7 linked regions of the Sus scrofa genome follow. The protein of the gene in region 4 binds, or shares a complex with, the protein of the main gene of each other region. Links are inferred from orthologs where the notes say so. Each region holds a gene or a part of one and is shown on either strand. Other genes may lie near its edges.

Region 1 (4,011 bases), on a different chromosome or scaffold from region 4:
TCAAAGTACTGCCATCAGAAGGGCACCACGTCAAGAAATGGCTTCAATATTTATTAGCAAGTAAGTACAGTAATTAAGTCCTTTAATCTTATCTTTCCCATTTTATGGATGACAAAGCTATCATCAAAACCTTCTTACCTCACAGGGTAGCTGCTATAAATGCAATCAAAGAAGATACCTCCCCCAAGAAGAATGGCAAATAACTACCATATATAAGTGGAAGATTTACATATGGTATCCAAACCACATGGTATGCAAACTGCAAAGCAATGGGCAAACAAGTAGGGATGAGTTACTAGCGACCCTGAACCTAATGGTTCTACTGAACATTGTGCTACTTCTCTTAAACAGGCCCCGAGATATGGGAGAAAACGGTTTATGGGGTTGGGAAACAAAGGACAAAATTAAATATTCCAAATGGCTCTTACCTATGCCCACATCCCTGGTATCTGGAACAGTGCCTGGCATTCACTAAGCTCTCAGTAACTGCTGAATGAGAACTTCAAAAAGACCCTCAATCACCAGCTTTCTGTCCTCCAAGACACAGGCTCAAGCTCCCCCCAATAGGCTCATGTGCAAAGCAGGATACCTGGCAGTTCATGTTGTCCTCGGCTTCAATGAGCTTCCCTCGGTACACCTCTCCCGTGTTCGTCTCACAGGTCACAATGTGCCCCTCAGCCTCATGTAGGACTTTAATCGGCACACCAATAGACATCTCGGCAGGAAGAGAATTCTACAGAGAGAGAGAGAGAGAGAGAGAGATAAGAGTTCATGGTTCAGGGCCTGAGAGGCATGTGGCACAAGCCTCACTCAAGGCTGGACACTCTGTAACACTCAGCAAAAATGCCAAAGGCGTGTTTTTTTTTTTAACTTTATTTTTTTTGCTTTTTAGGGCTGCGCCCCCAGCATATGGAAGTTCCCAGGCTAGGGGTTGAATAGAGGCTACAGCTGCTGGGTTATGCCACAGCCACAGCAACACAGGATCTGAGGCACATCTGCGATTACACAGCTCACAGCAATGCCAGACCCTTAACCCACTGAGCAAGGCCAGGGGGCAAACCCACATTCTCATGGATCCTAGTCAAGTTCGTTAACCACTGAGCCAGGAAGGGAACTCCCAAAGGAACTTGAAAAAGTAGCTTAACCCCAGCTTGAAGAACATATCTAGCAAACAAGATGCAAGATTGGGTGGGGAGGAACAGGGGGGCTAGACAGAGGGAAAGCTAACAGGAATGAAAAGACTGCCTCTCATCTCCCTGCTACCACAGGTCCCTTTATCTTTATCAAATAACTATGTTGCAGCAGAGGGGGTTGGAAGGCAGGTGTACTTGTTAACCCAAAGCAGTGGGTAACATCACCTTGAGAACGTAGGACGTAGACCTGAGCTGTCCAAAACAGTAACCACTGCAAGTTCTGAAATTGAATAAAATTAAAATGAAATAAGGAGCTCCAGCTGTGGCGCAATGTGGTCTGAGGCATTTCTGGAGCCCTGGGACACTGGTTCGATCCTTGGCCCACCATAGTGGGTTGCTGCAGCTTCGAGGAAGGTGGAAACCATGGCTTGGATCTGATCCGTGGCCAGGGAACGCCATATACCTCAGGGTGGCAAAAAAAAAAAAAAAAAAAAAAGAACGAAAATTAAAATCAAGAAGAGTCCATGCATTTAATTCAACCCAGTAAGTGCTCTTTGACTCTCCATTTACTTCACCATCAAAGTTAAAGAGAAAATATCAAAGTATTCACAAAGTGATAATGTGCTACACACAGGAAATGCTTATCTTGGAGAAAAAAGGGAATCAAGGCAAGCCTGACTTGACCTTAAAAGAGGAAAGCTGTCGGTTTTTAAATTCCAAAATGGTCAGCTGAAAGGTGGAATACATCTCCTGCATAAAGAGAAAAAGGAAGAGCAGTGAAAGAGACAGGCGCCCTTCGTGAGAAGCCTCAGAAGTGTAGATTTTATGCTGAACGCAATGGGAGAACCACGGCAGGACTATAGGGAAGGAATTATCCCTGGGAAAGGCAGCAGCACTTACAAAATGGTTCGAACACAGCTTAGATGCAGGGAAACTTGAAAGAAGCTTGTGTAACGGTGTAGAAAGCATGAGGGGGCGGATGGAGGCAGGGAAGCAAAGGACTTGGGAAGGAAGCAACTAGCCAGAAACGACCTCAAGACCATTGCCTGGATGCTTCGAAAAACACTGGCCTGGGGAGGTATGGAAACTGAAGGAAAAGCTAACGACCTCACTTCCAAGCGCTAGTGAGGCGACACTGTCTGGTGGCCCGGCTTCCCGCTCCTGTCCCTCGGCGAGCCCCGCGGAGCTCCTCGGCAGCGCGTCCTTCTCCAACCCTCTACTCCTCCGAGTGCCTCGGCCTCCCCACGCCCGCCCCCAGCCTCCCCTCACCGCCTGAGGTCTCCTCCTCCTTCCCGGTGCGGCCGCGACTCTGCCGACTGCGAAGCGTGAGACAAGCGAATGGCGGGTCCCGCGCTCCCAGAATACCACGCGTTCCCAAAATGCCTCGCGCAGGGCCCGCCCTCTTCCTTTTCCCAGTGGTGAGCGCGGTCTCGTCCTCGCTTCCACCTCACCCCACCGGCTGGGAAACTCGGTCTGTGGTTCAAGAGTTCCGGCCCCGGAAGACTGATGACTGGACCCAGGTGCCGCCGGAAACACCGACCCTCGGGCCGGCAAGGGCAGAGAGGGACTCGCTTTTCCAAACACCTCACACCGGCGACGGGCTGGACGGCGAGGCGGGGATCGGGGGAGGCAGCGGTGGGGCCGAGGGCCAGGACCTCCCCTCACAATTTAACCTTCGGAACCCGGCAGTGCCAGGTAAAGGGACCCCTGAGCGGAGAGGGAGACAGGAGCAGAGCGGGTGCCGGCCCTCGGCCGTCCCTCCAAAGAGAGTCGAGGTGGGGCTGGGTCTCCCGGCCCCGAGGCTGGCGGAGGAGTAGGACCTGGCAGAGGCGGAGCTTGCCGGGGGCTCTGGGGAGCCCGCGTTCGTGGAACTCCCGGGCCTGGGCGGGGCTTCCGGGGAGCGGGGCGGGAAGGGCTGCGCGTCCGCGCCAGGCCTCGGAGGTCGGGGCGGCAACCCTGGGAGCTGACACTTTGAGCGGCCGGGACCAGCGGAGACAGGAGCCTGGGAGCCTGAGGGCTTGAGGGCCAGAGGAGGCGGGGGCGGGCCGGGGCGGGGCCCAGGGCGGACGGGGCGGGCCAAGGCCTGGAAGGGCCGGGGCGGGGCTTGGGGCGGCCCAGCTGCCGCCTCCCCTTCTCCCCACCGTGCTGGCAGTGGCGGTGGCGGCCCAGGAACCCGGGGACTAGCGGCCCCGCTCCCGCCCCAGACGAGGCCGAAGCTGCAGCCGGCGCCGGGCCGGGGCCATGGGAGCCCCGCGCCGCCCACGTCATGAGGACGGAGGGGGAGGCATCGGGGCCGCCGCTCGAGCCCGGTCAGTGCTCCCTGAGGGCTTAGCCCTCATCCAGGGGAACAGGGGGGCCCACCCTAGCAGCGGTCAGGGTCCGGCCGCGTGACCTTGGACCGACGGCCGCCATGTCCTAGGCTGTAGAGCTTTGAGTGAAGTCTGGCCAGGTGTACACCCCGCCTTGGCTCCCGCAGCGCCAACCGCGGTCTGCTGGGGTTTCCTGATACTCCCAGGGCTGGAACCCCAGGCAGCTCTGATGGCGGTCTTGGTGGGAGGGTCCTGGTTGAGAGGCTGGGGCGGCAGCTTCCCCAGAAGCGAAAAGTCCTGCTGAAGCTGCCGTGAGAGATCCTGTCCCCTCGGGGAACTGAGGCCTAGAAGGGCAGGGAACTGGCAGGGAGCATAGAGCAATGGGGGAGGCCCCCCCCCCCGGCCTCCCAGACTCAGTGTTTTGTCTTGCTAGAGTTCTTCACTCTAGTTCCTTATGTCCCAGGTGGCCTGTGTTCCCTTGCAGGCAGAAACCAAAACTCAGGTTGTGTGTGAACCTCGGTTTGCTTTGCTAAATTGGGGAGGGAGAGAGCAGTAATTCCTGCTCTGGT
Region 2 (2,556 bases), on a different chromosome or scaffold from region 4:
AAGCTGGCTATTTTTAGTCCCCAAGGACACAGTGGTAAGGTCAAACCAGACCTAAAAGTCCTTCCCCCAGAGCCTTCCTACAAAGCAGGCAGTGGTAAAACACACAATCTCAGATTTAGCTTCAGCACCAGTCTCAACTGCCACACCTGATCCGGTGCCTGCCCCGTCATCACTGGAGCAACTTGTTGTAGAAAATGATTTTTTTTTTTTTTTCCAGGACCACACCCATGGCATATGGCGATTCCCAGGCTAGGGGTGGAATCAGAGCTACAGCTGCCAGCTACAGCCACAGCCACAGCCACTCAGAATCCAAGCCACATCCGTGACCTACACCATAGCTCACGGCAACGCCGGATCCTTGACCCACTGAGCAAGGACAGGGATGGAACCCGCATCCTCATGGATACTGATCAGGTTCATTACCACTGAGCCATGACGGGAACTCCTGTTAATTCTTTGGCAGGAAGGCACTAAAAGAAGACAGAGGAGGATCAGGAGCGTTAAATGTTCATCTCTTTCCTTGGGAAACAGCTTTATTTACAAAACAGGTCTAAAATAAGAACATGAACCTGAAAGGACAAGCCCTGGGGAGTAACAGGAGAGCTGGCTCTTGGGTATCCATGTGCGAAGCCCAGGTGTCCGGCAAAGGGCCTAAAGGAGGGCCGGGCGTGTGAGGGGACCTAAAATTTGAACTCCTTATATTTCTTGCTGCCCCCACGGCTGTCCTGGGGCTGAGCTTTCCGTTTCTTTTGCTGTAGGAGAGAAAGAGGAACAGGTTACAACAGGTTAAACAACCTGCTGCTCCCCAAACAAGGGTGCCCGACACAAGCACACAGGTCTGCAGAAAAAGCACTGCGACTGGATGCTCAAACCCGAGTGAGTCCCTCTCCCTCCCTGCACCTCAGCTGCATCTTCCTTCAAGAGGGTGGCCCGAGGGAGGATCTCCAAGGTTTCCAGCATCTGGGAAGCTCAGGGCAGCAGGCAGTGTGTCCTCTCGCTCCCTCACCACTAGAGGACACCACTGCGCTGACAAAGGAGGCCCTGCTCCCTGGCGCTCCCATAGCCAGCCTCCCGGGGAGTGAGCGCCCACCTTCTGCTTGGCAGCATGCTCAGCCACCATGTCGCTGAAGTCCTCTTTCTCCACTTGGGCCTGCTGCTCCCGCACGTGCTCCTCATACTTCTGGGTCATGGCCATGGGATCCAGCTCCAACTCTTCGGGTGCCAGGGCCACTTCCACACCTTGCAGCTCGGGGGCTGGGCCCTTCCGGCTCATAACCTGGAAAAGGAATCAGAGCCCTGTCACCTCCAAAGAGACACTCCAAGAGAAGCCCTCGCTCCCACGCTTTCCGAACCCCCAGAGCAGCGTCCTCTGAGTGCCCACCGTGGACATGTCATAGATGTGGGTCGATCCCATCATGGCCCCTCCAACGGTGGCTGTTCTCTTCTCCGGCAACACAGTGAAGAGCTGCGGTGTCTCACTTCTGCAAAGGACAAAGGCGTCAGGCCCATAAAGGCAGGGAAGACAGGGTCTCCAGAAGGGAAAACAAAAGGAACACAGGCAGCACCCCCACCGAGCTCCTGGAGAAAATCCAAGACACCCAGGGAACAATGGTGCCCACGCTGCCTCTACAGGTCCCAAAGACCCATGAGAGTGAAAAGTGCCACCTATTTCAAGCATCCTACTTGAGGAGTTCCCCAGCGGCCTCGTGGGGTGAGGAGCCGACGTTGTCACTGCTGTGGTGCAGGTTCAATCCCTGGCCTGGGAACTCTGGAAACTTCTGCATAACCAAAAGTGCAGCCAAAGAAAAAAGAAAAGAAAAATTCTACTTGAATGCAAAAACAAATCTAATATCAACCCAGACCATGGGTTCTTCCCTACCTCGCCCAGGAAGAAGTGAAAATTTATTTCCACAAAGCAGCCAGACAGACACCGAGAAAGAGAATTCAGATCCTGTCGCTCCTTTGTTCCAGACCCCCTCAGGCTTCCAATCACTGTCTGAATAAACCCACTTTACCCGGGTCTAAGGGCGTCAGACTTGGTCCCCTACTTAATCCCCGCTCGCTACATTCCAGCCACAGGACCCGTCGTCCTTTTTCTTGCTTGAATATGCATAACTTGAGACTTCTGTTTCCAGACAAGAAGTAACAGGGATCAGATTTACCCTCCCACCTGAAACAGTCAAAAAATGGGCGAAATAGATGAAACAGTGGTTTTCACGTCATTGGACGTGAAACAACAAAGGACCGTGATTCCTGAGATGCAGGAAACACGCGAGGCGATTCCTTCCACTGCGCACCTACTGCACCGAGTGTCCAGGCCACAGACGGAGGCGGGGGAACTGCTACAGAGCCCAGAGGACACCAGGAGTTGAAGGGATGAAGCTGAAAATGCAGGGAGACTAAGGCGATCAGAGATCCCAGGACAGAGAACTGGAGAAGAGGAATCCCCCAAGCTCTCGGGGGAGGTCCGCACGGGGGGAGCTACCAAGGCAGGGAAAGAACCACCACCGGAAGGACGAGTGGCAACAGACACGCCTGCTGCTCCCTTGGGACTGG
Region 3 (4,149 bases), on a different chromosome or scaffold from region 4:
TAATTAATGATTGTGAAGGTGAAAACATTTAAATGATTTGTTCAAGAATATAAAAACCAGGTGAGGAAAGGGGGATTTAAATAATAACTCTAGGAGTTCCCATCATGGCGCAGTGGTTAACGAATCCGACTAGGAACCATGAGGTTGTGGGTTCGATCCCTGGCCTCGCTCAGTGGGTCAAGGATCCGGTGTTGCTGTGAGCTGTGGTGTAGGTTTGCAGATGCGGCTTGAATCCCATATTGCTGTGGCTCTGGCACAGGCCAACAGCGACAGCTGCGATTAGACCCTAGACTGGGAACCTCCACATGCCTTGGAGCAGCCCAAGAAAAGGCAAAAAGACAAAAAACAAACAAACAAAAAATAATAATAATAACTCTAGTTAGGCTGAACCAAATCAGTTACTATGATATACTCATTGCTTAAAAATCATTCAATTATCTCTATTTCCTGACTACCAAATTAGGAACCCTGACATGTCACTAAGAAAACTAAGGAGATGAAGTTATTAAATTGTTGTGGGGGGGAATGTCCAGTATTCTTTAATATTTAATAGATGAAATATGCTGTATGCTTAACAACATTTTACAAATAATGTAAAAGCTAAAACATTATTCACAGGAAGTATCTGATTTAATTTCTATGTTCTAAAAGGAAAAATACCTGTGGTATTCCTTGCACCATCTTTCCATGTATCTGGAGTGATAACAGTACCAAGTTTCTTTTCACCTGTTATAACAAGATAACAAAAGTGGGGGGGGGTTAGCATTACTATCTAATAAATACACTACATTGTGCCTTAAGTTTACAATGGTATTAATATTCATATTACATACAAATCTGTTATTGCTGAGGCTTGGGGCCAGTGAACTGAGACTTATGATACTAATTGTGGGCCATGGATAACTGACTCTCAGTCAAATCTGTGGATAATAGTATGGCCTATAATAGGCTTGTTTCTGTACATTAATGCTTTAAACAAATCTGATAAATCTGTTCATTTACTAAATATCAGTGATATATAAACCATTGTACAAAGTACAGAGAAAAATAAAATGAATTAGATAAGGCTCTAGATTTCAAGGAGTTTACATCATACTGATTTATCTCTAACAACAGTTCTTAACCTGAGTTTTCACATGTGGACCTTAGGAAATACATGAACAAGATGAAACTGAACACAAACCTCTGTATATCCATTTTTTTTTTAATAGACTCTGTTAAGTCCACAGCTTTTGTCACATTCTCAAAGGGCTCCGAGAACAACAACAAAAGTTTAGCATTATTCAACTGAAAGTAAACAGTATGTTAAGAGCTGAAGTACTAAGATACATTCCATGGAGGAAGAAATAACCTTGACTAGGGAAATCCAGGAAAGCTTTGTGAAGAAGGCAGTAGAGAGGGTTTGTGGTAATGAGACCATGAAGAAAAAGGAGAAAGGAGGATGAAGGTAAACTGGATAAAGGACACATCCTGATAAAAGGCGTGGAGAACTCGAGGTACATGCAGTCAGGCAAAATAGTTTGGCTTGGCTGAACTGTAAAGATGGTAAGGGTTAGTGAAAATAAAGTTAAAAAGGTAAGATGTGGCCTCATTGTAGAGGGTCATCCTGAATGCCAGTCTCCAGATACAGAAATCCCAAATTATTCTCTGCACCTTGAGAATGTATTAAAGTAACTGTCATGGTCATTCTTTCACCTAATCTGAAAACTGTGATTCAAATTCTGTGTTCAAAGCTATAAGGCTTTATATACTGTGGGGGGGGGGTAAACGAAATGGATCAAGTTAATTAGATGATAATCAAACTGACGATAATCAAATTAAGAGGACATGTTTAGACTCAGGAAAACGGGAATAAGACTGCTCTTTTTAAATACACAACCAGTTTGTGGGAGCAAAAATATCAAATCTCAGAGGGTGGTATTAGAATTACTGGACGGCAACTAGAAGAAGGAAAGACCTTTCTAAAAGCCAGTAAAATCAACACGGACTGCTTCCAAGGTGGTGAGATTCTCCTACACACCGGCCACCATTCCTCAATACTCTGGGTATTCGTTCAAGGACCATTTAAGCACTCACAGCATGTGGAAGTTCCTGGGCCAGGTATGGAACCCTGCGCCAAAAGTTAGATTTAAATTTCAAATAAACAATGAATACTTTTTCAGTAGACAATGTCCTAAAAGTAAGTGCCTTGCTTTACAGCAGTAAGGAGCAGCAAACAGAGCCAAATCTCAAATATTGCATAGGACGCACACTAAAAATTATTCTTGGTTTACCTGAAATTCAAATTTAACTGGGCGTCCAGTACTTTTATTTGCTAAACCTAGCAACTCCAGTTGCTGTGGAAGCGACTTTTAAGATCCATTTCAACCTGAAGCTCTGAAATGAGGGAGCCAGTCAAGAAGCTCAGGGGTTGAACGAAAACAATGGAAACAGACAAGGAGGTGCAAAACAGACAAGGAGACCACCCTGAATGCAACAAACGGAGGACTATACGGTCGATGGAGAGGCAGGAATGGTCAAAGGGCAGGACAGAACAGAGGCTAGAATCAGAGACTTGTGGCCAAAGTAAAAACAAAGGAATAAAGTCCCGGGGAACTCCAGTTAGGTTGTCCCAGCCTTCTTCTCCCGCAGAAGAGTTTCCTTAACTCACATTTTTCGCACACCATCCTTTCGCGACGATTCCCTCAGTCGCAGTAGGATCGGGAGCTGGAAACCATCAACACCACAGCTGAGAAAACACTCCCCTTCCGGGTTATGAAAGTCCACTTCCGGATCCTCCGCCCCGCCTATTCTACACCTGGAAAGCCGCGGGAGGAATAAAGGAGAGCGGGAAGGCGGGGCTTCCTTCTTGGCCCACCTCTCCACTTCTGCGATTGGTTGTGAGGCCTTCGGTCTCCGCCCTGCTGGCCTGCGCCTGCGCGAGACTCAGGGCGGCGAGTTGCACCTGATGGTGGGAGGTAGTAGCCCTCCCGTTCTCTTCCGCGAGCGGGAGAGTTAGGTAAGCCCAGCCGGACGCTCCCGGCGCACGAGCCTCCAGCGGCTGCAAGCCACCCCCGCCAATTGCCCAACTGATCGGAAATCTCTGCTACCAATAGGCCCTTGCCCGCGGGCCCCTCGAGCGCCGCCCTTCCGGCGTGACCCAGGGGCTGCCCCGATGAACTGGCTCTTTTTCAGTTCCGACTTTCTGTGTTTGTCCCGCCGTTTCTCTTGGTCTTTACGCCTGTGCTCTTTGATTATGCTTCTCAGCTTGTCCCTTTCTGCCCACAGTCGGCTGGGGCTTGGGCAGAGTCCGCAGCGACCCAGTTTGGGATGGGGCTGGAGATTACGGTCCCACGATTCCCGCGAAGGCGCCTCCAGGAGCCTTTCAGAATGGCCCTCTCTTCCGCTGCAAGGCTTGAGGATCTGGGCCAGGTCAGACCACGGGCACCTGGGCAATAGCTGCCCCAGGGGGCACCTGGCGGAAGTCCTCCTGAGCTCTCCAAGGCCTAATATAAGGCTGGTTTCTCAGGAAGGGCAACTCTGCACCTACTCTTCGTTCATTCACTCATTCACGCAGCATTAAGTTTGTGTATTGCTCACTGTCTTATGTACAAATCTGCTCCTGTCAATTGGGATTTTGAGGGTGGCCCAGAAGAAGATAGGACCGGTGAGAAAGATTTCCTTTCTCCTTTCTTGCCATTCATACCTCCTAGTATATATCTATATCATCAAAAAGGTTAGCTAGGGTTTGAAATGGCTTTAGCACTTGGGACCTTGGTAGCTTGCAATGTTTACTAATCTCTGCTAGTCTTTTTCCTTATCAGTAATGTATTTTCTTTTGAAAAATATAGTGTGAATAAATGAGAGTGTTAGGATAAGGCCTGGATTTGCCCTTTTACCCTTTTATATATACGCACACGTACACATATATGTGTGTGTATATATATGGGGTTTTATTCTGGACTAGTCACCACAGTGTGACACGTGGACTCCTTACTTAACATTAGTCAATACTACATATAAGCTCTCTGTTAGATAATTTGTAAATACATGCATACATAAAATAGATATATAGAGATGGGAGAGAGAGAAAGTAAAATTTTTTTTCCCTTTTCATGAAGCTCTTCTTTTCATTGGAATCTAGCGTCTGACATTGCCATTTTGGTATTT
Region 4 (3,974 bases):
AAGGCCAGGGATCGAACCTGCGCCCTCATGAATGCTAGTAGGGATCATTTACCGCTGAGCCACAAAGGGAACTCCTGCCGATCATATGTTTACTGAGCCTTTGCCACATGTTAGGTACTGAGTTAAGTGCTCTTCCTACAGAAAATCATTTGACCCTTACGACTGTTCTGAGGGGTATTATTCTATGCATAGTATTTTGCAGATAAGGAAACTGAGGCCCAGAGAGGAAAAATCACTTGCTGCTCCCCATGGCTGAAACATGCAGACCCTAGGTTGCACCTTCGTTTTATCCCCATCTGTCCACCTAGAAGGCCTCCTGCATGACCCACCGAGGACAGCAGCACTCCCTCTCCACACTCCAAACTCTCAGCTGGCTCTACTCTTCTGCACAGACTTTGCCATCACTTGTCTTCCTGACACATTATGTGTTTGCTGTAGACTCCCCTGAGTACAGGAGGCATGTATGATTCAGTCACCATGGCATCTCTGGAGCCTAAGACAGTACCCCACAAGGGCAGAGGCCACTGTGCACGAACTGAGAAAACTGATGAGGAAGACCGTGTGCCGGGGGCGCTACTCCTAAGGACTGACTGTGCTTCACATATATTAAGTGACTGAATCTTTGCAACCATCAAGATTACGGCCATTGTAGGGAAGAGATATATGGTCCCTTGCTGAATGTCACACGGCTGCTAAGAGGCAGAGCCAGGACATCATTCCAGGACTGGCCCCCAAGTCCATGGCTGAACTTTACAGCTGGAGGAACAACAGAGACCGTCACAACAGGCACTCTTTTTTTTAAGCCCACACCGGAAGCATATGGAGGTTCCCAGGCTAGGGTTCAAATCGGAGCTACCGCTGCCGGCCTACACCACAACCACAGACATGGGATCTGAGCCACACCTGCGACCTACACCACAGCTCACTGCAATGCCGGATCCTTAACCCACTGAGGAAGGCCAAGGATCGAACCTGTGTCCTCATGGATACTGGTTGGGTTCGTTAACCACTGAGACATGACAGGAACCCCACCTTCAGACGCTTATGCCCCAGGCTTCTAAGAAACCTAGAATCCAGGCTCCTCAGACTAGAGCTGGGACTGCTTCTCCAGGCCAGGACAGACCACCTCCCCAGACCCAGGTGCTCACCTGTCAAAGGCCTTCACGCGGCCCAGGAGCTTCTTGTTGTTGCGGCAGTTGATGAGCACTTGGGTGTTGTTCTTGACCGACTGTGTGAGCACGGACAGCGGCCCCGTGTTAAACTCCTCCTCCTCCCGCTTCTGCAGCTCCTCTGGCGTCATCTCACTCTTGGGCTTGTTGAGGAGGCTCCTGAGTGGGCAAGTATGGAACTCATAGGTGACAGGGCCTGGAGCCAGAGCCTGGGTGGTCATGCCCTCTCGCTCACTGTCTCCCCAACACACCCACCCTCCGGCTCAGTCCTCTCTCTTAGCATCACCACACAGCTGCCTAATAGACAGTTCCAAGCTTGCACGTCCTAGGCTGAACACCAGGCCCCGCGGTACCCCCAAACTTAATCTACCTACAGCTGCCTTCGTCTCCATCCATGGCAACTCCATCTTGCTATGTCTTTGAGCAAAACCTCTAACGTCAACTTGACTCTTCTTACTCTCACATCCTACATTCAATCTGCTGGCAAATCCCATCATCCCTGCCTCTCAAATATATCGGAATCTGACCACTTCTCACCATGGCTTAACCTCCATCGACTCTCTCCTAGAGCCGTAATGGTCTCCCTACCTCCACCCATGCTCTCCAAGTTTGCTCTTCACAGAGCAGTCTCTGGTTGGTGCCAAGGTCCAAGTCATATCATCTCACTCTGCGAAACTCTCTTGAGGCTCCTATCTCAATGTAGAAAGTAAAAACCCTTTATCCGCTGCCTTCTCTCACTCCGTTCCATCCAGAGGGGTGTCTTGGAAGATTTTCAGCAACTTTCTTCTTAGGCTTCTGCATTTGCTTTTCCCCCTTTACCTGGATACGTCCCTAAATATCTTTGTGCGCTCACTTTCTCCAGCTTTCTGCTCCAGTTGCTCCCTTCTTCATGTGTCCTGTCTCTCAAAACTGGCATTCCACATTGTTTTACCCTGCTCTACTGTTTCTTCATTCATAGCCCCGGTCACCTAACACACCATATATTTTACCTTTACATTTATTGCCTGGCTCAACCCAACCCATAAAATGCAAAATGGAATTTTTTCCCTTGGGGGAGTGGGGTAATTCACTAACATATTCTGTGTCTAAAGAAGCCTGACATATGAACACTCAATAAATAATTGTTGCATGAATACGTAAGTAAAATCCTTCCGATAACTCGAGACCCATGATAACGACGAATAAGGTCAAAAGGCTAACCGTCTCCAGCTCAAATTACCCTGATAAGATCCTCACTTCAAATCGTTCTTCCCCACATGTCCGTACTCCCCTCTCCCAGGTTCCATTTTCGTACATCGCTTCCCCTTAACATTCGCTTCAGTAAGACTAATTATTTGGGAAAGCCCAGCCCGTTATCTGATAAAGCTGCTCCTGCTCCTAAAGTCAGGATCCGAAAAAGGCCCCACATCTGTTCTCAAACTCATCGGTAACGTACGCCACTTTACCCCGAAAATGTTTGCTTCCGCCCCAGGCTCTGCCCACCCCCTTCCACCGGCAAGTGGCCAGATTTACACCCTCAACCCACTCCTGCCACCTAAGCCTAGCCCGGCCTCACATGGCGGTGGCAGTAGTTGTCGCGACCGCGCACTCCAGTCACCACCGTCTCCGCGTTGCTTCTTCGCCCTCTGAAAGGAGCGAGAAGGGCGGGACTTCCGCTTCCTGAGGCCCACTTCCGTGGGCGCTTGCGCAAACACAGCTAGTGGGTGGGGCGTGGCCTGTTGCCATAGCGATCTCTGCTCGCCACAGGCGGCTGTAGGGTAAAACTCTTACGTACTACTTTGAGGCCATTCAGGACTGTACCGGGCAGATATTGACGATGGAGAGGAAGAGAAAGCAGGACTTATTCAAACCATTTCGTTGTAGAACCGCACAGGTTGAAGGAGGGAAAGGACAAGCCATTTCCAAATGCCCGCCGGCCCTGCCTTCGGGGGCGCGGCATCCACGAAGCCAATCGGCTCCTCGCTTCAGGGATGGATACCTCCTCTTCTACTTAGGGGACCGTCCGTTTATGTGTTTGTTAATCCTTTGGACTTGGAATAACCAATCCTTTGCTTACATCCGGGAGGGGCGTGGACCCGCGCCCAGGAGGTCGGCTGTTTTCTAGGATCAAATGCTTCTCATTGGCTTCCCCTCTTCCGCTGAGGCGGTGCCTACCTCTTTCGCGCTCCCTTTTGGGTTGTGCAACCCTCAGGGGAACCAACCCTTAAGCTTCAGGGAGACAGGGAGGCGTGTCCTCAGTACGAAAGTCCCCATTGGCTTTACTGCTTGCTGAAGGGTGGGTTGGTGCAGCCGCTCTTGTTGCTTATTGGTCCGGTGATTCCATGGGGTGGGACTTGGCTGGCCTAAACTCCATCCGCAGTCCCCGACCGGTTTCAGGGCGAAGCTGCCATGCGTTCAGGGGGCCGCGGGCGGCCCCGGCTACGGCTTGGGGAACGCGGCCTTTTGGAGCCACCCTCACCGCCCAAGCGCCGCCTGCTACCGCGGGCGCAGCTGTTGCCCCTGCTGTTGCTGGCGCTGGCGGTGGCCTCGGTGTTCTATACCATTTGGAGCGGCTGGCACCGCCAGACTGAGGAGCTGCCTCTGGGCCGGGAGATGCGGGTGAGGCCGGACGGGGACAGGGGAGCCCTTATTCCCCGCCTCCCCCTCCTCAAAGTCTCAGGTTGACGTGGCTTTATCGTTATCGTGGGGCCCTAGCCGCAGGTGCCGCGATCTTCGTCGTTAGAGCGCATGCCCCTTTCCAATGCAATGAGGCTTCGGGCTTTTTCTATAATAGCGGTTGCACCGTAAGAGGAAGGGTCTGGAGTA
Region 5 (4,126 bases), on a different chromosome or scaffold from region 4:
CAGCAGCTGCAGCTCCAATTTGACCCCTAGCCTGGGAACTTCCATATGCTGCACATGTGTCCCTAAACCAAGAAAACAAAACAAAACAAAACAAAAAAAACCCACAAAAAAATCCGACTACATCGGCTAGGGTCCTTACAGAGGTGTGAGTCTGATCTTCAGCTTGGTACAGGAGATTAAAGGATCTAGCTCAGATTGAATCCCTAGCCTGGGAACTTCCATTTGTCACAGGTGCAGCCATTTCAAAAAAAAAAAAGCACCTTTCAGACATTAAGAACGTTAAAGATCAACTTTATTGAGATGGAAGATATCCACAACATAGTGTCAGGTGAAAAAGCAAGTTTTACAATTGCACAGAGTATGACCCTGTTCTTAATTAAACAACAACAACAAAAAAGGATGAGGGGCAGGCAGAAAGGGATTTAAGTTCTGGCTTTGTCCTTTACTAGTTGTATAGACTTAACCAAGTTTCCTAACCTAGTCAAGCTTCAGTTTCCTCATGTAAAACAGCAACAACAGTATATGTCATGTAGAGGTGTTCAGAGAATTAAATGAGTTAATAAATGAGTATTCAGAGTAGTGCTTAGTCTATAGGAGAGCCTCAAATGTTAGCTTTTGTTTTCCCCTTCAGAACACATTAGGCACCTACTCTATACCAGGGCTGTGCTAGACACAGGTACACAGTGGGCGCTTAAACACATCTTGGCCCTATAGAAGACCAGCCCTAAACAGTAAATACATTTCTATGAAATCACAGTTTGAGAAGCACCCACTAGAAAGGAAAGACTCTATATGATAGAAGTGTCTATGGCCTAGAAGAACCAGGAAAGTGCAAGGATACAGCATTTAATCCACGTCCTAAAAGATGATTTGAAGTTAATGATACAAGGGGACGAGGGATGTAAAAACAGTACAGACACAAGGGACTGCACTGGTCATCTGTTTATCTTTTATACTGTCTACAACAAAAGGGCAATTATACCACATAGATGATTCTGCAACAGCTTTCCATATTAATACAACTCATTTCCATGTGGCAGCTGCCTTTAATGGAAATACCAAAATCTAACCCATTCCCTATTTTTTTTTTTTTTTGGTCTTTTTTTGCTATTTCTTTGGGCTGCTCCCGCAGCATATGGAGGTTCCCAGGCTAGGGGTCCAATTGGAGTTGTAGCCACTGGCCTACACCAGAGCCACAGCAACTCGGGATCCGAGCCACGTCTGCAACCTACACCACAGCTCACGGCAACGCCGGATCGTTAACCCACTGAGCAAGGGCAAGGACCAAACCCGCAACCTCATGGTTCTTAGTCAGATTCGTTAACCACTGCTCCACGACGGGAACTCCCCATTCCCTATTTTATTTTATTTTTTTGGCTGTGCCTGTGGCATGTGAAAAGTCCCAGGCCAGGGATGGAACCCGTGCCACAGCAATGACAACGCCACATCCTCAACCTGCTGCACCACAAGGGTACTCCATAACCCATTCCCTATTAATGGCTCCCCTCCACCAATTTTTGACTATTAAAACAAACAAACAAAAAAAAAACTACCAAAATTTTTGTACATAAATCTTTACTTCTGGAGTCAATACTTACATTTCTAGAATTTGGGTCAAAGGACCATGTGATTTCATCAGAAAAAACTTTTATTAAAAAAAAGTGATTGATGCCTCTGCCCCCTGACTTCTTTCTAGTACTTACATTTTTCTTTGGATCTTCTTCCCATAAAGATAAAACTCTGCAGCTAATCTGTCAGTTTAAGGCACAAGTCATTTCTTTCGTTTGTCTCTCTCCCATCTTGCCCAGCCCTCAAATACTTGTCAAATTAAAGAGGTTGTTCCGGAGGGCTGGGCACATCCACCCCCTACAGACTTGTCGGAACAGGTACCTACCTCAGGTCATTCTTGAGTTCCACGACCACATCCTTGCCCACAAGGGACTTGAAAAAGGAATAGAAGAGCTATTGGGCGAGAGGGGGAAAAAACATCATATGGGAAGGGACTTGGGCAGAGGCGTGTTCCCCGGCCAGTATTATGAGATACTGGTCCTGGGGATCCCCGCCGCATCTCTCTGGCAGTTCTCAAAACTTAAGAGGAAAGAATACTCGGAAAAACGGCTGGAGCCCCGGTGATTACTACCTCGAGCGCCTGACCTAAAGCCCGGGAGAGAGGCTCTGGCCCGCACGCCTCGGGCTCGGCTCTCAGTGGACCACCTCTCCCGGCGTCCTGCCCCCACTACCCAGTGAAGGGTACCAAGTGTAACACCCGCACCCTCTCGGGGCCTGGTCTGTCAGGGAAGTGCTCCTTGAGGTCTAGCTTTTCCCTCTCCTGCTGTTCCCGCCGACTCAAACAAATAAGACCCATTCGTTTTGAGGTCTCTCCCCAACGAACCTGATTTGCAGGAAGTAAGGAGGGAGAGAAAAATCCCAGGGCCCAACGTCAGCCCAAAGGAACAAAGCTCCCGGAGGGCCCCCCCGCCCCGCCGCCGCCCCGCGACCCCGTCTCCGTCCCCAACCATCCCAACGGTCGCGCTCCCCGAGGGCGCCCCCTTGTGACATCACGGTACCTACCATTGTGCTTGCACCGCGGGATGCCCGCCTGACCGGGAAGGCGAGGGCCGGGTACCGCGGTCCGGAGGCCGGGCGGGAACCGGAGCACAAGGCCGCGCGCGAGGCGGGGCGGGGTTGCGCAGGGGCGGCGGGAAGCGCCGCGGAAAGCTCAGGGTGACGGAGGAGAGCGGACCGTGCGCTCCGGCTACAAGCAGAGCGGGCGGGGTAGGACCGAGGGGACGCGAAAGCCAGGGAAGGGGCGGGGCTTCCCGCCTTCCGACTTCCTCCCCAAGCGGCCGGCTCCCACTGCGCAGGCTCGGGCTCTGACGGCTCCCCCGGCTTTCAAGTTTTCTTCCTTTTAAAAATAGTGTGGTTCCAGCATGATTTGCTCATACCCTGAAGACACTTACTATTGCAAACTGGGCGTTTGTGAAAACCCATGATGATTTGTACACTTTTCTATGTCTCTTACACTTTGATAAAAGTAAAAATGTTTGAGTTCCCAAGATCAGGAACCTGCACACAAATCCGATTTTGTCAAAGGTTCCCGATAAACTTATTTCTCCTGAGAACCCAACCTCAGTCCACATTTCTTTTACGCTTTTGCCTAGGGCTTTCCTGTAAGGGGCTGAGTAAAGCAAAACCGACTGACTCAGGGATAGAAATACCCATTCTGATATTTCACTTCCAAACATTGCCCTCTCAAACACAAAGGGACACAAATTCACAGTTACATGTATTTCTATACTCATGTCCCCAAAGCATTATCAGTATGCGATGACGCAAAAGGTGAAATTTTTTTTTCAAGGAATGAGATCCAAATAAATTCTCCATTTTCTCCTTTTTCTTTTTTGGTCTTTTTAGGGCCGCACCCACAGCATATGGAGGTTCCCCGGCTAGGGGTCCAATGGAGCTATAGCTGCCGGCCTAGGACAGAGCCACAGCAACACAGGATCCTAGCCGCGTCTACGACCTACACTACAACTCATCTCATGGCAATAATGGATTCTCAACCCACTGAGCGAGGCCAAGGATTGAACCCACAACCTTATGGTTCCTAGTCGGATTTGTTTCTGCTGTGCCACGATGGGAACTCCTAAATTCTCTGTTTCTAATCTTGCAAAAAAGCATCCATCTGGGAGTTCCCATTGTGGCACAGTGTAAATTAACCTATTATCCATGAGGATGCAGGTTCAATGCCTCACTCTGAGTCAGGGATCCGGTATTGCCATGAGCTGTGGTGTAGGATGCAGAGGGTGGCTCAGATCCCTTGTGGCTGTGGCTGTGGCCTAGGCTGGCAGCTACAGCTCTGCTTGGACCCCTAGCCTGGGAATTTTCATATGCCACAGGTGCAGCCCTAAAAAGCAAAACAAACAAACAAACAAACAAACAAAACAAAACAAAACAAAAAACCTCACTACCCATTTGTTAGGAGTTTGTTGTAGAAATATTTTCAGCATGTAAAGGATGTAATAAGGGACCCTGTGAGTGACAGACCCCACTGATAAGTAACACCAGGACATCAAGCAGAAGTTTGTACCTCTGAACCCTAAGCACCTAAATCAGTCTATCCCTG
Region 6 (4,197 bases), about 30 Mb from region 4:
GTTTTCCAACGGGCTCACTCTGGTGCATTTAGAACAGATGCTGATCCGCAAGGGTAGAAGCAGGGAAACCAGATAGGAGGCTAGGGCAGAAGTTCAGGCCAAAGATGATGGTGCTTTGAACCTAGACGATAGCAGAGTGGGTTTCTTGATGGTTTGGCAGTGAGATGTGGGAGGAAGAGGAGTCCAGCTTTTTTTTTTTCTTTTTTAGGGCCACACCTTTGGCATACGGAAGTTCTCAGGCTAGGGTTCGAATGGGAGCTACAGCCGCAGGCCTATGCCACAACCACAGCAACAGGAGATCCTTACCCTCCTGTGCAAGGACAGGGATCGAATCCGTGTCATCATGGATACTAGTAGGGATTTGTTACCAATGAGCCACAATGGGAACTCCAAGAGGAATCGAGATTAACAACCAAGGCTTGTATCTTAAACAAAAGGAAAGATACTGCCATCAACTGAGGTAGGGAAGACTTTGGGAGGGACAGGTCGGGTTTTTGGCCTGGTGGAGGGTGGAGGGAGGGAGTTCCAGGCAGAACAGGAGAAACGAGGAGCCCAGTTCCTACTTATGTTACGTTCGTGACGTCTGTCCAAGCGGAAACATTGAACAGGACGTTGCCAATACATGTTCGAAGCTCAGAGGAGAGGCCTTGAGCTGGAAACCTATGAAGTTGTTGGCAGAATTGGTATTTGAAGCCAAGAGAGTGAATACATTGTGAACAAAAATCAGGAAAGGGAGGCAAGTGTGTGTTGGGGGGGGTGTGTGTGTGTGGTTACGTTACAAAAGATGGCTAGAGAAGGGTCACATGTTCCCTTTCAGAGAAAAAGAGAGTGCATAAAGGAAAGGAGGCAGAAGGCATCCGGTTGCAGGCCCTCGCAGCCAGAGCTGGGCCGGTGAGGCACACGTGAGCTCCGAAAGTCCCGAAGCCTGAAGGCCGGCTTCCTTTCCGTCAGACTCTGCCCGGGGGCCCCGGCTCTCATCAGCTTCCTGCCGGTTCCGAAACTCATCTAACGGACATTTCCAGCTTCTCCCCAAAGCTAAGGAGTTGTAGCGGAAGTCGAGGGTGCGGGACCAAAACGCAGATTTCATTCATAGTACAGAGCTCGACTACTTCAGGGCCGACCTCGATAACTGGAAACTCGTAAAAGCAACACAATCACAACTTTTCTAACGAAAGCGGAGGCCGCAGGCTTCTCCTCTGCGCAAGAGCGGCCTCACAAGCGTCACCCTGAGGTAACAGCCTTTCTCCACAAGCTCTCCATGGAGCCCCCCCCCGGGGGGGGGCAGAAAGCCGCCCCCACTACGGGTCGAAGGAAGGGTCAATTCACGCTGAGCGAACAAGGCTGGTTAAGCGCCACAAAAGGTTTTGCAGGGCGGGGCGACCGGACGACACTCTCTTGCTCGCTCCCATTGGCTGTGGTCGCGAGGCTCTCCTCAAGGACTGGCCACTGGAGAAGCTCGGAGTCCGGTAGCAGCCCGCCTCCCGGAACGCGCGTGCGCACACTTGGCGAGCGCTCTCCACACTGAGCAAGCGCGGCCTCGTGTCCGCTGGAAGGGCGGGTGGAGCAGCGCGAGCTGCGTCCCGGCGCTCGGCTTTCCCTGCCGGTCCCGCCCTCCGTCGCGGTGGCGCGGTGCACCTTGGGATAGGGAGCGATCTCCGAGCGAGGCAGCAAGATGGACGCGGGATTCTTCCGCGTAAGTAGGAGCGCGGGGATCTGGGGTGAGGTGAGGGGCTTATCGAAAAGGCCCAGCAGGAGGCCTAAACTCGAGATGGGGTGGCCAGCGAGCGGAGACTTCGAAGATCCTGAGGATCCTCGTTGCCAGTGGACGCTTCCCCACTACCCTGCGGCGGGGACCGGTGCGCCCCTGCGCAGTCTCCTCCTCCGGGATCGTCCCCCCTACGCGGCAGCGACGGTCGCCGGAAAATGGCGGCGGGAATGGGCCTGAGCGGTACCTTCCCGCCCGCCTCCCTGGCAGGGCCTGCAGGGAGAGCCGCGCGCCCCACCGGGTCCTGGGGCCTAGCGGACCCGCGAGGAGGAAGTCCCTGGGGGGAGGCCGGAGGGAAACCCTGAGGTGACTGGCGGCAGGAGGGCCCTGGGGAGGACAGGTTTGGGGGTACCGCCTCAGGAGAGCGGGTGAGAGGACCGGAAGCAGCCTTGAGCCGCTTTTCTTGAGAAAGCGGGCACCAAACCCCCTCCCCCCGCGCCTCGCGCGCCCTCCCTCTTGGTCTAAGCCTTCCCGAAGGCTCCGGGTCAGAGTTCGCGGGAGCTCCCGCCCAATTTGATAGCCCTTCAGGGAGGGGAATGCAGATAATTTGTAGTTAGAACGTTTGAGTCTGAGACTCCAGGCAGAGGGTGCAACAAAAAGTATGCGCGTTTGTGGAGGCAGGGGTATGGAGTGGATCTACTCTTCGTTCCCGCTCACCGCCCCCCACCCCCTGTGAACGTTCTCTTGAAAATCTTTTTGGTGAAAAGGTTCCTCTTGATTCTCGCCCATCACCTGGAGATGGGGACGTTTTCTCGTCGTAGTTGGCCCTCAGGGCCCATACTTTTACCGGGCGCGTGCTGGACTCTTTTGGTCCCCTTTTACACTCCCGTAGGACCCATTCGAGATCTCGATGGGTGGGAAGTGACACTGATTGGACTAGAGTTTGCAAATTCTTTTTAAGGCAGAACGGACCATATAGAGACCAGTTGATTTAAGTCAGAATCTGTAGTGCATATTGGCTCTTTCCATTCCCTGGAGCATGTTACATGCAGTTTCTGTGTGTTTAAAGGAAAAGATAAAAGAGGGTAAGACCGGGACTTTAAGATATGTCTTGACACTCCAAAGCTAGCATTGAAATGCCTTTTGTCTTGGCTTTAAATGTGCCAACTAGTTTTTCATTAAAGGTTGAAGTGTTATTCCAAGAATTTGATACAGCCGGTTGTTTGATTGTTCTTAGGTTATGCAAACAGTACTATAGTTATTTATGTAATGATCGTTTCCAGTGAGTTTATATCAAATTTTCACACTGCAGATGAACTCTCCATTTTGTGATTTCCATCAAAGTTTTTTTGTGGTAAATACTCAACATATCCTGTAGTCTGAATGTATTCTTTTGAAACAAGTCTGTTCTTTTAATTTTTTCTTGTTATTGTCACTTTCCCTCGGAAGAGAGTTCCAACAGAAAAAGAACAAAGTGGCTGTTTTAAGAATGAGATTTGCTTTTAGTGTTGGTAAAAATCTGGAAGGAAAGGGCAGTGTTTTATATATTGCCTTGGGTTCTTAGAGAAGTTGATTAGATTTGAGCTCTGAATTAAAGATTTTAGGGCAGTTATTCTTTTAGTACACTTCCATCGAGTAATAGACTGAATTTTTCAGTTAAGATGGAAATAGTACCTTTCATTTGCTGAACTTCTGCCACACACCAGTTACTTTATGTATATCGTTTCGGATATTCTCAGCCTTGGGAGGTAGGTTTTAGCAAGTTAGGGAAAGTTTCTCAGACAGGTTAAGTAACTTGCTTTGAGGTCATGTGGTTTACATAGTGACAGAGTTGGGATTCTAATCAGGTTCTTTACTTTCTTAAAAGAATTTTCTCGATCACTTTCCAAAGGATTAGTGGCCAACTCTGAGAACTGATCAGTAGATTTCTTTTTTTTGATGGGCAAGAAGTGGGTTAAGATAAAAAGCGCTTGCGAGAGATACAGGCTGGCAGGCAAGGAGGCTCTCCCAATCAGTAGATTTCATATCACATTGTATATCCGGGTTTAATTGGGTCAGTAGGAATGACAAAATGCAGTCTGGTGGTTACTTGATGGTCTGGTATGTTTGTAAGCTCTCACTTTTTTCCAGTTTGTTTGCAGAAATTGAGTTTATATGGTAGACCTTTATTTTTTATGCACTCTGAGTTCTTCAAGTTGTGAAAACTTAACATACAGTCTTAGGTTCTTCCTTTTTCTGTGTTTATATGCATTGCCACAATAATTTTGTAAGATGATCCTGGCTTTCAGAAGAGGATGAAATGGTCTCGTTTGTAAAGTATAGAAAGTGCTCTCTTTTGAACAAACAAAAAAACCCCTTAAATGCTTTATTAGCATAGAAAGGGGTGTAAAAAGATACATAGCAAACTTGGTTGTGAGGGGGGTGTTTTATGTTGTATTCTATATTGCTGGACTTAATACAATGAATGTATGTTTTGTGTTTTTTAAATACAA
Region 7 (4,242 bases), on a different chromosome or scaffold from region 4:
TTTGATCCCTGGCCTTGCTCAATGGGTTGGAGATCTGGCACTGTGAGCTGTGGTGTATATCGCAGACACAGCTGTGGTGTATATCGCAGATCCCGCCTTGCTGTGCCAGCAACTGTAGCTCCGATTCAACCCCTAGCCTAGGAACTTCTATGTGCCGCAGTGTGGCCCTAAAAAGCAAAAAAATAAATAAAAAGCAAAGTCCAGGTTTTGCCAAGTGTATATACATCTTATACTTAGGGAATAAGAATTTCTGCTTGTGGACAGCATGACTCTACTGATCCAGTGCCTACTCTTAGAGCCTTTCTTTCCCTCTCCCTAGTCTTAATAGGTTTCAAGTCATCCATACCTATCCAGACTCCCTTTAACCAATACTGGATCCAGCTGGTTGGCCTGAGGTACACAATCTGTGGTTATGAAATAGAGATTTTTCTCTATGTTAAATGGCTCTTGAGCGTTAGCTCATACTTATTTTAGCCTTTTTGGCACAATGTGTTCCTATAATGGGATTCATATTTAAGAAATTAATAAAATATTGAAATTGTAACATTCAATAATGGAGGAAATATTGAATATATAACAATCAATGAGAATGGTATTCATTCAACAAATAATTTTTAAACATCTGTGACTGGCCAGGAATTACTACAATAAATAAGCACTTCAGTGCCCAGGGAAAATGATAAATACTTACTGAGATTTTACCACATCCCAGGCAGTGACCAAAGTGCTTAAGTGCTTCTCTTGAATTAACACAACAACCCTCTGATGAAACTGAAGCCTAGAGAGATTTATAACTTGGCCATTCTCACATTAGCTTTTGGAGCTAAGATTCAAATCCAGATGTCACACTGCATGACCTACTGTACCAGGTGGAGTGAGAGATGCAAAACTCCTTAAAATACACAATGAGAAAATATCCCTAACCATGAGGAGCTGACAAATTGGTTAGGGTAGTGAGATTATATATAACGGCAACCTGAGAACAACACACGATGACATTAACCCAAGTGATTTATGGCAGAAAGACTACAAGGGCTATCTGTAGCACAGAAAAGAAAATATGAATTCTAACAGCCAAGAGAAGATGGGTCTTGGAGCCTATCAATAAGAATAGGAGTCAACATAAAAAGAGCCAAGGCCCCAAGTAGAAAGGAAGAAGAGGGTTAAATTGGGGATTTGGGATTAACAGCTACACACTACTATATGTAAAACAGATAAACAACAAGGACCTACTGGTTAGCACAGGGAACTCTATTCAATATCCTGCAATAACTTATAAAGGAAAATAATTTGAAAAGGAATGTGTGTGTGTATACACACACAAATAGGTATATGTGTGTGTGTGTGTATAACTGAAACACTTTGCTGTACACCTGAAAGGTTGTAAATCAACACTTTCATTTTTTAAAATGAGGGAAAAAAGAGATAGGGCATTTCGTACTTAATTGTTGGAGAAAATTTTATGTTATATAGAAGGAGATTCAATTACACAGGTCCATAAAATAAGAGATCCAATACCTAATGTTTACTGCCTTCTGAATAGAAGGCACTGTGCTAAGCCCTATACATGGATCCATGTCATCCTCACACAACCTCCGTAAGTAGGTCCTTTTACCATACTGGTGTCTAAAGAATAAGAAAACAGTCTTAATGGGGTCAAGTAACCTGTCCATGGTCATGATGTTAGTAAACAGTGAAACTTGAAAATTTACTCCCAAACCAATTTTTAATCTACCATACTACACACACAAAAAAATTGTTAAGCATGGGAATGACGTGATAGAAAGAGTTTGGTAGGGCTAACATTTAAAAAGACTAGAAGAATACAGGGTCATGTTAGTTACTGGGTAATTCAGAAATGAATGAGGGAGGCCAAATGTAGGCAACGGGAATGGAGAAAATGAGACACTGTTTAACTTGCATATTACCTTGCACTTTGTAAATTGAGAAATTTAATAAGATAAACTTCTGTAAAGTCTTCTGCTGGGTATTCATCTAGAGCATTATACTGTTCAATTGCACCATACAAAGCAAATCGCTCAACTAATTCCTTCATGGCTCCGACTGCAGGAACTCCTTGTATTAATAAGTACCGAGATTCCAAATTGATCGTGTAAACCTATAAGAAATCAGACACATTAAATGTATTTCACAAAGAAGCCTGGGACAAATCTAATCCTATATTTTTTTAAAGTTGAAAAAAACACCTTTCGACTGGTTTGCATAAAAACAGGAAATCTAAAAACTTGCCCCTCTCTCTACATAATGAATAGTTTACCCTTCTTGCAAAGGCCTTTAGCTAAAGCACGTAACATTATCTTCCATCAATGTGTTTTCCACAAATTAGCTCGGTAGAAGTTACAGGGACGAGTTAACAAGTATTCGCTGAGCGTTTACCATGTAACAAGGACCACTGTAAACACGGAAGATACAGTGACTGAAACACAGCCCTCTTCTCACGGAGCTGAGGTTCTAGCAGTAGACTAAAGAGCACTCAAGCATCTTTGGTACTTGAGTACCAGCGTTTTTCATATTCTTCTTCAGTTAATCGATGTGACCGCAGCCTCTCAAGATGTTATTTACGTAAGCTGGGCATGTGAAGCTGGAACTCACAGAAAGCTACCGGGGATAGCGATTGAAACCAAAGTCACTTTACCCTGACAGCGCGAGGGCGGCGCCCCTCTCGATACTTGGCCCGCGAGTCGCATACAGCCCTTTGGACGTGGTGATCGAATAAGCCTCCTAGCTGCCCGCCGCTCAACGCCATCTTGCCGGTGTTATCCCTCGCGAACGACAACATCCGCCCCGTTGCCCCACCGTTTACCCAATAAGAGAGAGGGGTGAGTTAAGGCGTTCCGAGATTGGCTGAAGAATCGACACCGTCGGCCATCGTTTCCTGTGAGCGAGGATTTGGTGAAGAACGTGTCGCCCCCCAGCGGCGCGGCGGAAAGGCCCTGAGAACAGGCGCAGGCGTGCTGGCCCCTCCCGCTCCGGATGCGCCGCGGGGCCTTAGGGGGCGGGGCCGATCGATCGTCTCCGGGTCCGACGCCCGCGACCTGCGGGGTTGGCCCGGGAAAGATAGGTTGGGCGGCTGGGGGTCGGTGCCTGCAGACAATGTGGGGCGGCGATCGCCTGGCGGGTGCTGGCGGAGGCGGGGCGGCCGTGACGGTGGCCTTCACCAACGCTCGCGACTGCTTCCTCCACTTGCCGCGGCGCCTTGTGGCCCAGCTACACCTGCTGCAGGTAAGGCGCCCGCTTGGTGCCGGGCTCTCACCACCGACTTGGGACAGCTGCTGGCCAGTCTGCGGTCGGCCGAGACCCAGGCCTTTTAGGGACGCAGCGGCCGCTCAGGCCTCTCCCGGCGGCGGGATTAGGGCTGCTTTCCCAGCCCCGCCGACCGGTTCAGAGGCCACACTGAGGACCCCTTGCGGGCAGGGCTGGCCTGGGCGCTCTTGACAGCCACATCACGTCTAGTGCAGCACGGCTTCTTTGAGTTGACCTGCTGTATTCCAGGTCTTTTACTCGCCGGAACTGGGCTTTGAAACGCCCCGATATTCTCCCTCTTCGTTCAACTATTCCTCACTCCAGGTTGGAAAAGCTCTTGAGAAGTCGGGTTTGTTTGTCTTTTGGGATTCTGTTCTGTTTTGTTTCATTATTAGAAAACGTTTTTCCTGCCAGCGATTTCCAGGTGCTTGCATGGCTGTGGTCCCGGCCTTCAGAAAGAGGGGCGGACTTGGTTTGTGAAGTCTCTATTGGTTAACAGAGGTGGAGCCCTGTGTCCCACGAGCGGGATAGATTAATATGAACCTTCTTCCTGTGTCTCCAAACACCTCCGGGGTGCTCCAGGAATGTGCTGTGGGAGTATGCATACTTGGTCATAGGTAGTTAGAATTCCTTGAACCTCTGTTTTCACTTGCGCTCTGCACCTTGTGGTTGTGGCGGTTCATAGCTCTAACACTTGCATGGTTACAGAGATGCAACATCTGTATTTTCCTAATTGTAAAGTGGAGACACCTGGTTTACGAGTTTGAGCGTGCTTGCTTAAGGGGCTAAAAGGATAGGCTGTTTGAAATCTTCGAAAATCCTGAATGCATAGTACCCACTGGTTTGCAGTAATTTCAACAGTTTGCAATAATTTCAAATATCTCCCTTTTCCATTTTAGCTACTTCTCTGTAACTCCTTTTCTAGAGTATTTTCCCCTATCTTTCATAGCACATTAATTTCAACAGATCCTGCCATTA

Evidence for each region.
Region 1: SNRPD2 (region 4) and SNRPD3 share a complex: the UniProt entries of both Homo sapiens proteins name them as parts of the SMN-Sm complex. The link is inferred for Sus scrofa from reciprocal best matches to the Homo sapiens genes SNRPD2 and SNRPD3.
Region 2: SNRPD2 (region 4) and SF3B2 share a complex: the UniProt entries of both Homo sapiens proteins name them as parts of the minor spliceosome. The link is inferred for Sus scrofa from reciprocal best matches to the Homo sapiens genes SNRPD2 and SF3B2.
Region 3: SNRPD2 (region 4) and CRIPT share a complex: the UniProt entries of both Homo sapiens proteins name them as parts of the minor spliceosome. The link is inferred for Sus scrofa from reciprocal best matches to the Homo sapiens genes SNRPD2 and CRIPT.
Region 5: SNRPD2 (region 4) and LSM2 share a complex: the UniProt entries of both Homo sapiens proteins name them as parts of the U4/U6-U5 tri-snRNP complex. The link is inferred for Sus scrofa from reciprocal best matches to the Homo sapiens genes SNRPD2 and LSM2.
Region 6: SNRPD2 (region 4) and SRRM1 share a complex: the UniProt entries of both Homo sapiens proteins name them as parts of the minor spliceosome. The link is inferred for Sus scrofa from reciprocal best matches to the Homo sapiens genes SNRPD2 and SRRM1.
Region 7: SNRPD2 (region 4) and RBM48 share a complex: the UniProt entries of both Homo sapiens proteins name them as parts of the minor spliceosome. The link is inferred for Sus scrofa from reciprocal best matches to the Homo sapiens genes SNRPD2 and RBM48.

Annotation. Positions count from the first base shown.
Region 1 is NC_010456.5:49,584,276-49,588,286, reverse strand, and holds the start of SNRPD3 (small nuclear ribonucleoprotein Sm D3), read right to left. Parts: upstream 2,801-4,011; 5' UTR 2,403-2,800; intron 2,370-2,402; exon of another isoform or gene 2,241-2,369; intron 1,414-2,240; exon of another isoform or gene 1,359-1,413; intron 734-1,358; 5' UTR 716-733; coding exon 590-715; intron 1-589. Other genes in the region: protein GUCD1, read left to right, coding at 3,400-3,442. UniProt on the Homo sapiens protein: Plays a role in pre-mRNA splicing as a core component of the spliceosomal U1, U2, U4 and U5 small nuclear ribonucleoproteins (snRNPs), the building blocks of the spliceosome.
Region 2 is NC_010444.4:6,278,539-6,281,094, forward strand, and holds the end of SF3B2 (splicing factor 3B subunit 2), read right to left. Parts: intron 1,482-2,556; coding exon 1,382-1,481; intron 1,277-1,381; coding exon 1,091-1,276; intron 753-1,090; coding exon 681-752; 3' UTR 501-680; downstream 1-500. UniProt on the Homo sapiens protein: Component of the 17S U2 SnRNP complex of the spliceosome, a large ribonucleoprotein complex that removes introns from transcribed pre-mRNAs.
Region 3 is NC_010445.4:93,923,117-93,927,265, forward strand, and holds the start of CRIPT (cysteine-rich PDZ-binding protein), read right to left. Parts: upstream 2,801-4,149; 5' UTR 2,667-2,800; coding exon 2,651-2,666; intron 727-2,650; coding exon 661-726; intron 1-660. UniProt on the Homo sapiens protein: As a component of the minor spliceosome, involved in the splicing of U12-type introns in pre-mRNAs. Involved in the cytoskeletal anchoring of DLG4 in excitatory synapses.
Region 4 is NC_010448.4:52,039,675-52,043,648, forward strand, and holds the start of SNRPD2 (small nuclear ribonucleoprotein Sm D2), read right to left. Parts: upstream 2,801-3,974; 5' UTR 2,727-2,800; coding exon 2,725-2,726; exon of another isoform or gene 1,826-2,724; coding exon of another isoform or gene 1,758-1,825; intron 1,329-1,757; coding exon 1,149-1,328; intron 1-1,148. Other genes in the region: QPCTL (glutaminyl-peptide cyclotransferase-like protein), read left to right, coding at 3,558-3,767. UniProt on the Homo sapiens protein: Plays a role in pre-mRNA splicing as a core component of the spliceosomal U1, U2, U4 and U5 small nuclear ribonucleoproteins (snRNPs), the building blocks of the spliceosome.
Region 5 is NC_010449.5:23,905,724-23,909,849, forward strand, and holds the start of LSM2 (U6 snRNA-associated Sm-like protein LSm2), read right to left. Parts: upstream 2,801-4,126; 5' UTR 2,575-2,800; coding exon 2,572-2,574; intron 1,963-2,571; coding exon 1,895-1,962; intron 1-1,894. UniProt on the Homo sapiens protein: Plays a role in pre-mRNA splicing as component of the U4/U6-U5 tri-snRNP complex that is involved in spliceosome assembly, and as component of the precatalytic spliceosome (spliceosome B complex).
Region 6 is NC_010448.4:82,307,795-82,311,991, forward strand, and holds the start of SRRM1 (serine/arginine repetitive matrix protein 1), read left to right. Parts: upstream 1-1,397; 5' UTR 1,398-1,672; coding exon 1,673-1,693; intron 1,694-1,728; exon of another isoform or gene 1,729-2,071; intron 2,072-4,197. UniProt on the Homo sapiens protein: Part of pre- and post-splicing multiprotein mRNP complexes. As a component of the minor spliceosome, involved in the splicing of U12-type introns in pre-mRNAs. Involved in numerous pre-mRNA processing events.
Region 7 is NC_010451.4:72,443,369-72,447,610, reverse strand, and holds the start of RBM48 (RNA-binding protein 48), read right to left. Parts: upstream 2,801-4,242; coding exon 2,657-2,800; intron 2,120-2,656; coding exon 1,929-2,119; intron 1-1,928. Other genes in the region: PEX1 (peroxisome biogenesis factor 1), read left to right, coding at 2,995-3,243. UniProt on the Homo sapiens protein: As a component of the minor spliceosome, involved in the splicing of U12-type introns in pre-mRNAs.